Linked DNA regions of Macaca mulatta. The protein of the gene in region 3 purifies or fractionates together with the protein of the main gene of each other region. This does not show direct contact. Links are inferred from orthologs where the notes say so. Each region holds a gene or a part of one and is shown on either strand. Other genes may lie near its edges.

Region 1 (4,487 bases), on a different chromosome or scaffold from region 3:
TACTTATTTCTGCTTTGAATAAAAAAAACACAGCAGGCAATCCAAGTGACTATCTTTCTGTATGAGTTACACTAAATGTGTTTTTTTTTTTTTTTTTTTTTGAGACAGTGTCTCGCCCTGTTGCCCAGGCTAGAGTGCAGTGGTGCGATCTCGGCTTACTGCAAGCTCCGTCCCCCAAGTTCACACCATTCTCCTGCCTCAGAGTCCCGAGTAGCTGGGATTACAGATGCCCACCACCATGCCCGCTAATTTTTTTTATTTTTAGTAGAGACGGGGTTTCACCTTGTTAGCCAGGATGGTCTCGATCTCCTGACCTTGTGATCCACCTGCCTTGGCCTCCCAAAGTGCTGGGATTACAGGCGTGAGCCACCGTGCCGGCCTAAATATTATTAATAAACTCCATATCTATGTAAACTCTAGTTTATGCACAGAAAAACAGTTGCTACTAAACCAATAAAATAGTCCCATTACTTAGAGAAAGTACAGATGTTCTCAAAAAAATACAATAGAATGACCTGAGTTTGAATTACACTATGTTACTTTCCTATTTGGGGAAGGAGGGCTACTAATTAAAGGTGGGCCGGGCGCAGTGGCTCAAGCCTGTAATCCCAGCACTTTGGGAGGCCGAGACGGGCGGATCACGAGGTCAGGAGATCGAGACCATCCTGGCTAACACGGTGAAACCCCGTCTCTACTAAAAAGTACAAAAAACTAGCCGGGCGAGGTGGCGGGCGCCTGTAGTCCCAGCTACTCGGGAGGCTGAGGCAGGAGAATGGCGGGAATCCGGGAGGCGGAGCTTGCAGTGAGCTGAGATCTGGCCACTGCACCCCAGCCTGGGCGACAGAGCGAGACTCCGTCTCAAAAAAAAAAAAAAAAAAGGTGTACTCTGTTTCCTCCCATCACAGCTCCCATTAACTTATAGATGAGTTTTATTCAGGACAGAATCTTGTGGCCTGACTACAGTAAGAAAAAGAAGAAACAGGAAAAAAAAAAAAAAAAAAGTAGCTAAGCAATGGCTTTTACTAAGTGACAGGCCATTCCTATACATAAAATGTATGAGAGTCAGAAGGTGAAGTTATTTATGATCCCCATATTTCAAAATATAAATCCTTCAAAATATGTTTTTCACTTGTCACTGATCTACTTACCCAAATCACTTTTTCGGGCTATGACTGTGTCACAGTGGGGACAGTGAAATTTGGCCACATTTTCTGTGTGCTTCTGTAAAATGTGCATCTTCATGGTACCACTTTGGGTAAACCGAGCATGACAAATATAACATTCATAAGGCTTTTCTCCTTTAAAGAAAATACAGAATTGAACACATTAAATGAAATGAATAAATACTGTAATTTAATTGGAGGGTAACTCAGGTGGCAGATATGCTACATCACAGAGAATCTACAGGTCTCAGGAAGGCTGAGGCTCAGTCCCAGTGCCCAGATCATGTCTATCTTCAGACATGGCCAAGTCCTAAACTGCTACTGGCCACCTCTGCTCTGTCCAGCTCTGCTCTGGAATCCTCCACATTACAGCAATGCTTACCTTTGGGGAAGACTGAATGGGGAACCCACAAGTTTTTCTTTTTAAGAAAAGGCAGTATCCAGGAAAACTGAATAAGGTGGGTTAGGAAATCCACCCAGACTTTCAAAATTAAAATCTGTCCATTTTAACTTAATTTCTCCCTTAAAAAGTATTATTTTCTTGTTATAGGCAGATTCAAGTTGAACAAAACAAAAGGTACTATTTTCTAATGTATTTTCCGAACAATGAATTCAGAGGATATGCCAGAGAAGCATTAATCAATTCCATACTATTTTCATGCCAGTCTTCCATTTGCATAAACAATGGGGGCACACAGTGGTCCACAGGGTCCCATGGGATTCACTGAAAAGCAGCTCATTAATACAGTAAGGAGTGGAGAAGTCCTACCTGAATGGGTTCTCATGTGCCTTTTCAGCTTGTATGTGTCCCTGCTGGCATAACTGCACAAACTGCACTGAAATGGACGCTCTCCAGTGTGAGAGCGAATGTGACGTTTTAATTTGCTGACCTGAAATATGAAAACAAAACTTTAACTTCTGTTAACACAGACTGTAACATGAGCACTGTAGGTTAGGCACAAAAGCTTAGCTTTGGAGCACTGAAATTCAGAATACAGAAGAAGTCTAAAAGATAACCTTCTCTCTTCATTATTTGTAAACTTTGCTTCTCGAATCCTTATCATTATCTAAGAGAAGTGGGTAAATGAATACGGGTGTAGATGAGTCAAGACTGGTCATTACTTGGGAAGCCAAGGTGGGCGGATCATCTGAGGTCAGGAGTTCAAGACCAGCCTGGCCAACATGCTGAGACCCCCTATCTACTAAAAATACAAAAATTAGCCAGGCATGGTGGCACACACCTACTCGGAAGACTGAGGCTGGAGAATCTCTTGAACCCAGAAGGTGGAGGTCGCAGTGACCCAAGATCATGCCATTGCACTCCAACCTGGGCAGCAAGAGCAAAACTGTCTTAAAAAAAAGATTGCATGTGACTAGTAACTGTTTAAGCTGGGTGGTAGGCACATGAGGATGTATTACAATCTTTACTTCTACATGTTTGAAATTTTCCGTAATAGTTTAAAACTAATCCATGCCTATTTACAGATCAATTTGTTCCAAATCCTGAGTTACTGAATACATGTTTTAATTCCACTCATCCTCTTTTCCTATCATTAGGGTTTTCTAGACAGGCCAGGCTCGAAGGGCCTCTCATCTATCATCCTCCCATTATCCATCCTTTAGTCCCCTGCAGGATACCTTATACTAAAACAGTGACTTTCAAACTTGATTCTACGAAGTGCTTTGAGGGCAGGGTGCGGTGGCTCACACCTGTAATCCCAGCACTTTGGCAGGCCAAGGCGTGTGCAGATCACTTGAGGTCAGGAGTTCGAGACCAGCCTGGGCAACATGGCAAAACCCTGTCTCTACAAAAAATACAAAAATTAGATGGGTGTGGTGGTACATGCCCGTAGTCCCAGTTACATGAGGAGCAGCTAAAGTGGGAGGATCACCTGATCCCAGTAGTTTAAGGCTACAGTGAGCCATGATCACACCACTGCACTCCAGCCTGGGCGACAGAGTGAGAGACCCTGTCCCCCACGCACCCCCTGCCCCAAAAAGCGCTTTGAACATTCACTAATGTTTCAATGTTTGTTTTGAAAAATTTAAAAAATTTCCCAATTTTAAGGAAAAAACAAACAAACAAAAACAAGCACTGCACTCTTAAGTGTTGTTGGTTTCTCTTTTGAGATGAAATCTCGCTCTGTTGCCCAGGCTGGAGTGCAGTGTCACGATTGTGGGTCACTGCAACCTCCACCTCCCAGAGTCAAGCAATTCTCCTGGCTTGGCCTCCCAAGTAGCTGAGACTACAGGCACACACCACGACGCCTGGCTAACTTTTGTATCTTTAGTAGAGATGGGGTTTCACCATGTTGGTCAGGCTGGTCTCGAACTCCTGATCTCAGGTGACCAACCCGCCTTGGTTTCCCAAAGTGCTGGGATTATAGGGGTGAGCTACCATGTCCGGCCCCAGTTATAAGTGTTACACACCAAGTTTTCAACACATAAGTCGATAACTATCCTAATAGCATTACTAACTCTCTTCCTTCAAGATTTCCCTATTTAACCTGTTAACTCGTATGTACCAGAACCCACTCTGTTCCAATGAGCTATCTATTCCTGCTGCAATATCACACTGGTTTCATTTACTATAGTTTTACAAAATCCAATTACATAAGCCCCTCATTCTATTTTCAAATTTATCTTAGCCATTCACATTTATTCTTCCAGCTGAAAGTTAGAATTAACTTGTAATGTTTCTTCATTTATTCATGTCCTTTGGAAAAGCTTGAGGTTTTCTTCATGTAGATTTCATAGATATTGTTGTTGTTGTTTTTGAGACAGAGTCTCGCTCTGTCGCCCAGGCTGGAGGTCAGTGGCATGACCTCGGCTCACTGCAAGCTCCGCCTCCTGGGTTCACCCCATTCTCCTGCCTCAGCCTCCTGAGTAGCTGGGACTACAGGTGACCACCACCACGCCCAGCTAATTTTTTGTATTTTGTTTGTGTTAGCCAGGATGGTCTCGATCTCCTGACCTAGTGATCTGTCCGCCTCGGCCTCCCAAAGTGCTGGGATTACAGGCGTGAGCCATCATGCCCAGCCAGATACTGTTTTTTGTTGTTCAGTTTATCCCTAAGTTATTTTATTGCTATTAGAATCCATTTTACACCTTCCTATCACTATAGAAGTTACTGATTTCTGTATGCTTATCTTATATCTGGTCAGTGAACTGAACTCTTCCCGCTCTAAGTTTTTGTTTTGATACTCTTAGATTTTCTCTGTAAGCAAATCTCTCTGCAAGAAATAACAGTTTTATCTTTCCATTAATAATTCATTTCTTACTTTATTCTATTAGCTAGGATTTCCAGTACAACGTTGAAACAGT
Region 2 (4,487 bases), on a different chromosome or scaffold from region 3:
CCATTACTAACCCTTAACATAGTGTTCTGAGTTATATCCTTTCAATCTCTAATAGTAGTAACTAATGCAGGAGCAAAGACAGCTGGGAGATAAAGATGAAGAAAGGAAAAAATGGCTAAGAACAAAGGGAGAAAAGAAAATAGGGAATCAATGGACAGAAGCTACAGAGAAATCACCTAGCAATGTTTGAAAAATATCTTGAGGGCAGGGCGCAGTAGCTCACACCTGTTATCCCAGCACTCTGGGAGGCCGAGGCGGGCAGATCACCTGAGGTCAGGAGTGTGAGACCAGCCTGACCAACATGGAGAAACCCCGTCTCTATGAAAAATACAAAATTAGCTGGGCATGGTGGCATGCATCTGTAATCCCAGCTACTTGGAAGGCTAAGGCAGGAGAATCATTTGAACCCGGGAGGCAGAGGTTATGGCAAGCCGAAATCGTGCCATTGAACTCCAGCCTAGGGAACAAGAATGAAACTCCATCTAAAAAAAAAAAGAAAAAGAAAAGAAAAATATCTTGGAACTTGAAATTCAAACATACTAAGATATTTCAATAGTTAAAAAGCCTTCTTTGCTTAGTTAGGGTCAAATAAAGGTACTCAGCATTACCGGGGAGATTTGAGAGTATTTCTATAGTTTTACTTGGAACTTTCGCAAATTAGTAAAGAAATCTGGCACAATGAAAAACATTACAAGATTAAATAATAGAAAAAACAGATACGGCCATCATGACACCCTGTGTGTGTTTTTTAAAAATTTCTTGGTTAGAATTATTAATTCTTTGAAAACAGAGAGAGAGAGAGAGAGAAAGCCATCTACAAAATGACCACAATAAGCACAAGATACTGTTTTAAGATGGTTGCAGCAGTTTTCCTTAGACATCTGGGGGATCTGTGATTTGTATTTTTCTAAGAAATGACTCAGAATTGACTTTAGAACAATAGTCTTTCCACATTATCAACTGTTTTCTCTCCTTTCCAACTTCCTTCCTGCTTCTCTGTTCAAATCTCTTCCCATAGTCTACATGAAACTACAGTCACATGTAATCCTGTCTCCTTTAAATAAAAAAAGATCAACAGCAATTAGGAATGTGCATTAAAGGAAGCTAAACATGCATGAAAAGTAAAATAATATATGAAATGTCTTTATACATTTTAAGACTAGCTTATAAACAGGTATTTTAGATTCTCCAATCTAAGTAAGATTCGACTTCAACTTTTACTGAAAAATCTGATTGACCTTTATAAGCATAGCTGTTTCAACAACTTTTCAATTAGCCCACCGCACATCACTTTGATACCTGTGAAGAAAATCAGCTACAGTTCCTTCCAATTCTACAATTCTAAAAATCCAGATAAAAACATAAAACAAGTCAGTTTTTCATTATAACAGAACACGAATAATTACACCCTTTTAGACTCTAAACATAATCTACATTCACAGCCTCTTCAAAGTTGAGGCTTAGTATAATAAATACAATCATACTTTAAATTGTTTACCCAGTTTCTTCCTTTCTTTCTCTTTCTCTTTCTTTCTTTTAGACAGTATCTTTTTTTTTTTTTTTTTTTTTAAGACAGAGTCCGGCTCTGTCGCCCAGGCTGGAGTGCAGTGGACTCAATCTCGGCTCACTGCAACCTCTGCCTCCCGGGTTCAAGTGATTCTCCAGCCTCAGCCTGCCCAGTAGCTGGGATTACAGGAGCCTGTCACCACGCCCAGCTAATTCTTGTATTTTAGTAGAAACAGGGTTTCACCATGTTTGCCAGGTGGGTCTCGAATTCCTGACCTCAGGTTATCCACCTGCCTCGGTCTCCCAAAGTGCTGGGATTACAGGTGTGAGCCACCATGCCCAGCCAACACACTATTTTTCATAATAAATTACTTCCCTTAAGGTTTCTGTGCTAACAAAAATCATAGATTCTTTACTTGGTGATACAAGGCATTTTCTAAAAGTTTCTTTGATTTCGGTCTAATTGCCTGAAAAGGGGACAAAAAACTTAAAGCAATATCCTGAAAAATCACACCACACAAAATCAGACAAAATTCAGAGCTGTGTTCAGAAGTGTACAATAAAAGAGGTAATTTTATTATAGTTTGCCTTGAGAAAAGACACCAAGGCCATCTACACAACAAATCTAGTTCCTTTCTTTGGGATTGGGATGATTTATTCTCAAATAGGTTTTTAAAAGGATACGTGTTCCATTAACTCCTGATATTTTAAAGTCATCTAGTAGTTGAACAACCATCTCTCTGTTTGGATCATTAGGGTCTGAATTGCGAACCTGTAGTGGGGAAAAGAGAGTAAAGCATGGAAATAAGCCAAATGGTATGGGAAGAATACTTACAGCAAATTAACTACAAGAAAGAGCTCACATAAATCTATCTTTAAAATATACTAAAATTTCAATAGCTTTAATGGAGAAAAATCTTAGTCAATTCATAAGAGGAAATACAACCAACAGGAACTATTTTTCTAATTTTGCTAAACTATTTTGCTCCCTGATATCAAAGTGTGGCCTCCAAATTAACTGCAGATTACCAGGCTATGAGGAACTAAGCAGCTTTTGCAGGATGCGAATCAACTATAGCACCAACAGCACTGTTTATTTCAGCCAACATTTTTTTTTTCATGGAAAAACTTTCTCAATGAAGAAAACAGTATTTACTTTTGGGTAGGTACAAGGCTCCTAAACTTGTCACAAACGGACATTCTGAAAAGTACTGTCTTAAGCCAGGTGCAGTGGCTTGTGCCTGTAACCCCAGTTACTCTGGAGGCTAATAAGGCAGATCACTTGAGGCCAGGAGTCGAAAATAAGAAAAGTACTGCCATAGAAATCTCCTGGTGCAACATTCTCACTTTATGAATAAAAAATCTAAAACTCAGAAAGAAAAACACGGTAACATGGAGAACATATCGGGGTAAAGGTGACCTAAACCCAGGTTTTCTAATTCTGAGTTTAAGTTCCTTCTACCACAATGGCATATTCCTAATTTAAAACAAAATTAAAAGTACATTTTTTATAGAATTTATCTCAGTTTCCAGGTATAAATGGAATCAGTAAATACAGTATTTTTATATTATGTATTCTATAACATATTTGAAAACAACAAAAAAGATGCTATACATTTATTTACACAACTTTCCTTTTAACCATAGTAGGAAAGAAAAACATTATGACAGTAGTTACCTGGCCTGTAAAACATGCTCAGTGAATATTTTTATTCATTTGAAAGGTTTTTTTTGGTTCATGTGTGTAAGAATTCTAATCATAGCATTTCCCACCAGTTCCCTACTACATGCATGGAATGTGTAAATATTGTTGTCTTCCTTAACCTCTTTAAGGATACTAGAACTTTATAGAGAAAATTATCCATGCTGAGGAGTCTCCACTTGGTGTGCTTTAATTCAATGAAACTTGATATATTTATAATTCTTTGCATTCATACATATAATCTAATACTCACTGACTTCAGCAACCGGATTTCATCGAGTGCTGTTTCGGTGTAATGTTCAGCACTTTTAACTACTTTCATTGCCACAAATTTCTTCCCCCTAAGAAACAAACACAGGCAATTAAGACTACATAGCCTACCCTTACTTTAGGAAGCTAAGGTTTAGCTATAAGATGGTTAAAAAGGACAAATACTGATTTCATGTTTCCCTGTAGCCCAAACAAGCTACTTCTATGGGAACATTTGTACTTGTTAATGATGCTAACTGGCCAGATTTCATTTGTAGGAAGAATAAAAGATCTGTTCTCAGATAATCTCAGTTGTTGAACATTTTCTCTGAGTTAAAATCCTTCTTTTGAATATCTCCCTGAATTTCAAGCAAAACTTCAAAATGAGGATAAATAAGGGGAAAGATATTACCAAATTCCAAGTGTTCTGTGTATCTGTATATAGGCAAAAACTAAAAGGTTAATAGCTGTAATATTTTCCCACAGGCAGCCAGAAGAAATATTTGGGTGAAAAGAAAACGATAAAAATAACAAAAAAATCAAACGACAAAAGCTTTACCAGCATTAATTTAATCACTCTTGTCTCTAAAGTAGAAAGGGAGATATATAATACCGATTCTTCACGAAAGAAAAGTGATTTCTCCAAGAATATAGAGACTATTGCCAACAACAAAATTCTGATAAATGTATCAGGCTAGAGATAGATTGAAGTCTGGATCAGCAGTGGAAACTCAGACAAACATATTTAGACATCATCTAACTAATTTTTTTACAGAACCACTAAAACTTACTGAATATCCCATGATAACCATACTGTTGAAAAGTGTCCCCAGCCTAACTTTCGGATCACATGATATCTCCCATTGAATAGATCTCCAATTTTCACAAGATGATAACCTCCTGGAAGACACAGGGGAAATCAGAAAAACCAGGACGAGAAACAATGGTAAGAAAAGGCATTTTTACATCACATTTTTCAACATCTATATACCTTTTATCAACAAAAAGTTTCTTTTATACAATCAATTCA
Region 3 (4,487 bases):
AGTCATCACTCTCCCCCCTGGATTTCTAAAAGAGAAAAGCCCAGGTAATTTGTACAATGTAAATCTGACGACATAATTGTAATGTTAAAAAAATGTATCAAGACACTACATTCAAGGAGTTTTCTACTTTCTACTAAGTAATAAAAAGCAGATCTAAAGCCAACTCTTCCATTGCCCAAATAAGTGACATTATTTAACTTTGTTAAAACTAAATATGTACAGTAAAAGCTAACAGATTATGAGAGTTAATTTTCTTAAAGACATGCCAAATTATTTTATTTATTTATTTTTTTTTTTTTGAGACTGAGTCTGGCTCTGTCGCCCAGGCTGGAGTGCAGTGGCCGGATCTCAGCTCACTGCAAGCTCCGCCTCCCGGGTTTACGCCATTCTCCTGCCTCAGCCTCCGGAGTAGCTGGGACCACAGGCGCCCGCCACCTCGCCCGGCTAGTTTTTTGTATTTTTTAGTAGAGACGGGGTTTCACCGTGTTAGCCAGGATGGTCTCGATCTCCTGACCTTGTGATCCGCCCGTCTCGGCCTCCCAAAGTGCTGGGATTACAGGCTTGAGCCACCGCGCCCGGCGACATGCCAAATTATTAAGAGCAATGGCTTAGTTACGTGTTTCAGAACACCTACAGCAAAAGGACTGACTAGAATCAACACTCACCTTGCTTGTGACTGCTTTTGAAACAATTTTCTCAAAATTAGAGTCAGAATCATCAGAAGTGGATGGCTTCCTTTTGCGGCGAATCTTGGTTTTGGCAGGATCAGGCTTTTGAGAGATACCAGAATTCAAAGCTGGTTCCTTTTTAGTTCCTTTAGGGGCAGCCCTTTTTTTGGCACCGGTAGTGGAGGTGGAAGACTGACCTGCAATTCAATACAGGCATTTGTTACAGCCGCTCTTTTTTTGAGATGGGGTCTCACTCTATCGCCCAGGCTGGAGTGCAATGGCATTATCTTGGCTCACTGCAACCTCTGCCTCCTGGGTTCAAGCGATTCTCCTGCCTCAGCCTCCTGAGTAGCTGGGATTACAGGCACGTGCCACCACACCTGGCTAATTTTTTGTATTTTTAGTAGAGATGGTGTTCTACCATGTTGGTCAAGCTGGTCTCAAACTCCTGACCTCAGGTGATCCACTTGCCTTGGGCTCCCAAAGTGCTGGGATTACAGGCATGAGCCACTGCGCCCGACCTAGTCATAGCCACTCTTAGATGAATTGTTCTCATTGTGAACTTTCTTCAGCAATGTGATGACTGTGTATATTTAACATAGGAAAAGACAATCTAAGAGAGGTGAAAATAGAGAATCAAAGTATTCTTAAACATTCTATTTTTTTTTTTTTTGAGATAGCGTCTTGCTCTATCTCGCCCAGGTTGGAATGCAGTGGCACGATCTCAGCTCACTGTAGCCTCTGCCTCCTGGGTTCAAGCGATTCTCCCGTTTCAGCCTCCCGAGTAGCTGACTACAGGCATGTGCCACCACACCTGGCTAATTTTGTATTCTTAGTAGAGACGAGGTTTCACTATATTGGCCAGGCTAGTCTCGAAATCCTGACCTCAGGTGATCCACCCACCTAGGCCTCCCAAAGTGCTGGGATTACAGGCATGAACCACTGCATCCAGCCTTAAACATTCAATTTTAAGAATATGTTTTACATTAAACATTTGCAATTGCTTATAAATCCTATCCTTGTCATAGAAATGAACTAGATGAAGCCTGGTACTGAGAGAAACACGCTGATTTTAAACATTTGGACTACCTTATTTTTGGAGACAGGGTCTCACTCTCTCACTCAGGCTGGAGTGCAGTGGCTTGATCATAGCTCACTGCAGCCTTGAACTCCTGGCCTCAAGCGATCCTCTTGCTTTAGCCTCCCAAAGCGCTGGGATTACAGGTATGAGCCACTCTGCCTGGCTTTTGTTTTGTTTTGTGTTTTGACTAGTCAAGTGCAGTAGTGAGAAGGAGGGAAAAGAGTAGAACAAGGAGTTTGATCTGTAACTGAATGAACAATCAGGACCAGCCTTGACTACTAATTTTGATTATAAAGATCTAAAAGAAATTGCTTCCATTTGGAAAAGGTTTAATTTGTAATATCAACAGTAAGTTTTGGCAATAAAAAATTGAAATTGCCACGTGAAAACCAGTTAGTTAATTGCAACATTAACCCATCTCAAAGATTTAGGCTTACTTTTTGCTGCTGTCTTCTTCACTGTCACATTCTTTTTAGGAACTGTGTTTGTAATTTCAGTTTCATTTGGGAAATGTGTAGCAGGAGGGCTTGAAGACAGTGGTACACTGTCCTTAGCATCATCAGCTTCAAGGTCTATCATTTCAAATGGAAAGGAAAATAGTACATTTAAGCCAACACATGAAAATCCATTTTCTGCTTTGTGCTTGGTATGAATTCCTATTTAAACACCAAATATGTGACTTTTCTGGAATATTTAAAACATACTTTTTTTTTTATTTTTTGAGATGGAGTCTTGCTCTGTTGCCCAGGCTGGAGTGCAGTGGCTTGATCTCGGCTCACTGCAAGCTCCGCCTCCCGGGTTCACACCATTCTCCTGCCTCAGCCTCCCAAGTAGCTGGGACTACAGGTGCCCGCCACCACGCCTGGCTAATTTTTTGTATTTTTAGTAGAGGCGGGGTTTCACTGTGTTAGCCAGGCTTGTCACGAACTCCTGACCTCAGGTGATCCACCCACCTCGGCCTCCCAAAGTGCTGGGATTACAGGTGTGAGCCACCATGCCCAGCCTAAAACATACTCTTAAAACTTTGTTCTAATTTCTGAATTTTTTATCAGCAAGAACAGTTTTTATTTTTTGTATCTCTAGCACCTAGCAAAGTACCTGGCAAGCACTATGATTACTTTTAGTATACTGAATGCAGTACCTATTTACATGTGAAACTAAACCCAACGAACAGTGTCAACATAATGTTATTAAGAACTCAAATTTATTTCCAAAGGAAGTACTTGGATAATGTAGCCAGGATTAGAACCCAGTTGGATCTGAGTGTCCCAGTAAGGCAGATGTCTCACTGCTTTTACTTAGATACATACCTGACATAGCCCTTTTCTGTGGTTTCAGATCTCTGTTAGTAAGTCTAGAATTAAAAAAAAAAAAATCCTGACAACCAATTCTAAAGGTGTTAAGCAAAAAACAATATATTAGAAACAATCATGACAAAAACCCATATTAGAAAAGATACTTACTTTGGGGAAGTTTTGGTCTTAGGTGGACTAGCATCTGATGGGACAAAATCTTCATCATCAGTTTTTTCATCAAAATCTGAGAAATCTTCATCTGAATCCAAATCCACTGTGAATTTGGTTTTTGCTAGTAAAAAAACATATACAAAAAATCAGAGGGTAGTAGGAGAAACACTTAATTCATAGGTTGATATAACATTTCATGAATATTTTAGTTTTTAATCTCCTGAAAGATGCTTCAGTGTTTCAAAGCTTTAACTTACTTTAATTTACTGCTCTATTAAGACACAGTAATTTCTGGGGCAAAGTACCCTGAAGTATATTGGCCATTCCACTCTTACAGCTTATCTATAATGTTCTTTAGTTTTCCTTACTTGCTGCTCTTCGTGGCTCTGTTTCTCGTGGAGGGACATCAAAATTACTTTCGTCACTGCTCCTATCTGATTCTGAATCAGACCAGGGATTTCTCTTCTTTCCTTTTTTGATTGGCTTAAATGGCAATGTAGTTTGTTTCTTTGTCTTTGTACCTAGAGGAGAGATAGAAATCAACCACCTTTATATATTCTGAGACTCACTTTTCTCCATCTATCATCCATCTATGCTTCAAATTTATTAACCGCTGTGATAGTTCTGAGAATACAATCGTGAAAAGAAACAGATATGGTCCCTGTTTTTGTGGTGCATATAGCTTGGTCACTTAATCTTATAAATAAATACAATGTGGCCAGGCACAGTGGCTCATGCCTGTAATCCCAACACTTTGGGAGGCTGGGGCAGGAGGATTACTTGAGCCCAGGGGTTTGAGATCAGCTGGGGTAAGATACAAGACCCTGTCTTAGCTGGGTGTGGTGGCTCACACTTACAATCTCAGCACTTTGGGAGGGTGAGGTAGGTGCATCACTTGAGCGCAGGAGCTCAAGACCAGCCTAGACAACATGGCCAAACCCCATCTCTACAAAAAATACAGACATTAGTGGGCATAGTGGAGTGTGCCTGTGGTTCTAGCCACTAGGGAGGCTGAGGTGGGAGGACAGTTTGAGCCTAGGAAGTTGAGGCTACAGTGGGCTATGATCATGCCACTATACTGCAGCCTGGGAGACAGAGTGAGATCTTGTCTCAAAAAAAGAAAAAAAGAAAAAAAGAAAAAAGGACTGTCTCTACAAAATACAAAAAATTTTTAGAAATTAGCCAGTCATGGTGGTGAGCACCTATAGTCTCAGCTCCTTGAGAGGCCGAGATAGAAGGATTGCTTGAGCCAGTATTTCAAGACCAGCCTGG

What was found.
Region 1: the proteins of TOP2A (region 3) and CTCF purify together in Homo sapiens (affinity purification with mass spectrometry; 3 studies listed by BioGRID and IntAct, with this or other methods). This does not show direct contact. The link is inferred for Macaca mulatta from reciprocal best matches to the Homo sapiens genes TOP2A and CTCF.
Region 2: the proteins of TOP2A (region 3) and SRPK1 fractionate together in Homo sapiens (co-fractionation; 3 studies listed by BioGRID and IntAct, with this or other methods). This does not show direct contact. The link is inferred for Macaca mulatta from reciprocal best matches to the Homo sapiens genes TOP2A and SRPK1.

Annotation. Positions count from the first base shown.
Region 1 is NC_133425.1:63,169,486-63,173,972, reverse strand, and holds part of CTCF (transcriptional repressor CTCF), read right to left. Parts: intron 2,054-4,487; coding exon 1,933-2,053; intron 1,299-1,932; coding exon 1,149-1,298; intron 1-1,148.
Region 2 is NC_133409.1:146,367,967-146,372,453, reverse strand, and holds part of SRPK1 (SRSF protein kinase 1), read right to left. Parts: intron 4,358-4,487; coding exon 4,249-4,357; intron 3,550-4,248; coding exon 3,462-3,549; intron 2,279-3,461; coding exon 2,191-2,278; intron 1-2,190. UniProt on the Homo sapiens protein: Serine/arginine-rich protein-specific kinase which specifically phosphorylates its substrates at serine residues located in regions rich in arginine/serine dipeptides, known as RS domains and is involved in the phosphorylation of SR splicing factors and the regulation of splicing.
Region 3 is NC_133421.1:64,769,894-64,774,380, forward strand, and holds part of TOP2A (DNA topoisomerase 2-alpha), read right to left. Parts: intron 3,737-4,487; coding exon 3,584-3,736; intron 3,337-3,583; coding exon 3,213-3,336; intron 3,104-3,212; coding exon 3,060-3,103; intron 2,322-3,059; coding exon 2,187-2,321; intron 866-2,186; coding exon 666-865; intron 26-665; coding exon 1-25. UniProt on the Homo sapiens protein: Key decatenating enzyme that alters DNA topology by binding to two double-stranded DNA molecules, generating a double-stranded break in one of the strands, passing the intact strand through the broken strand, and religating the broken strand.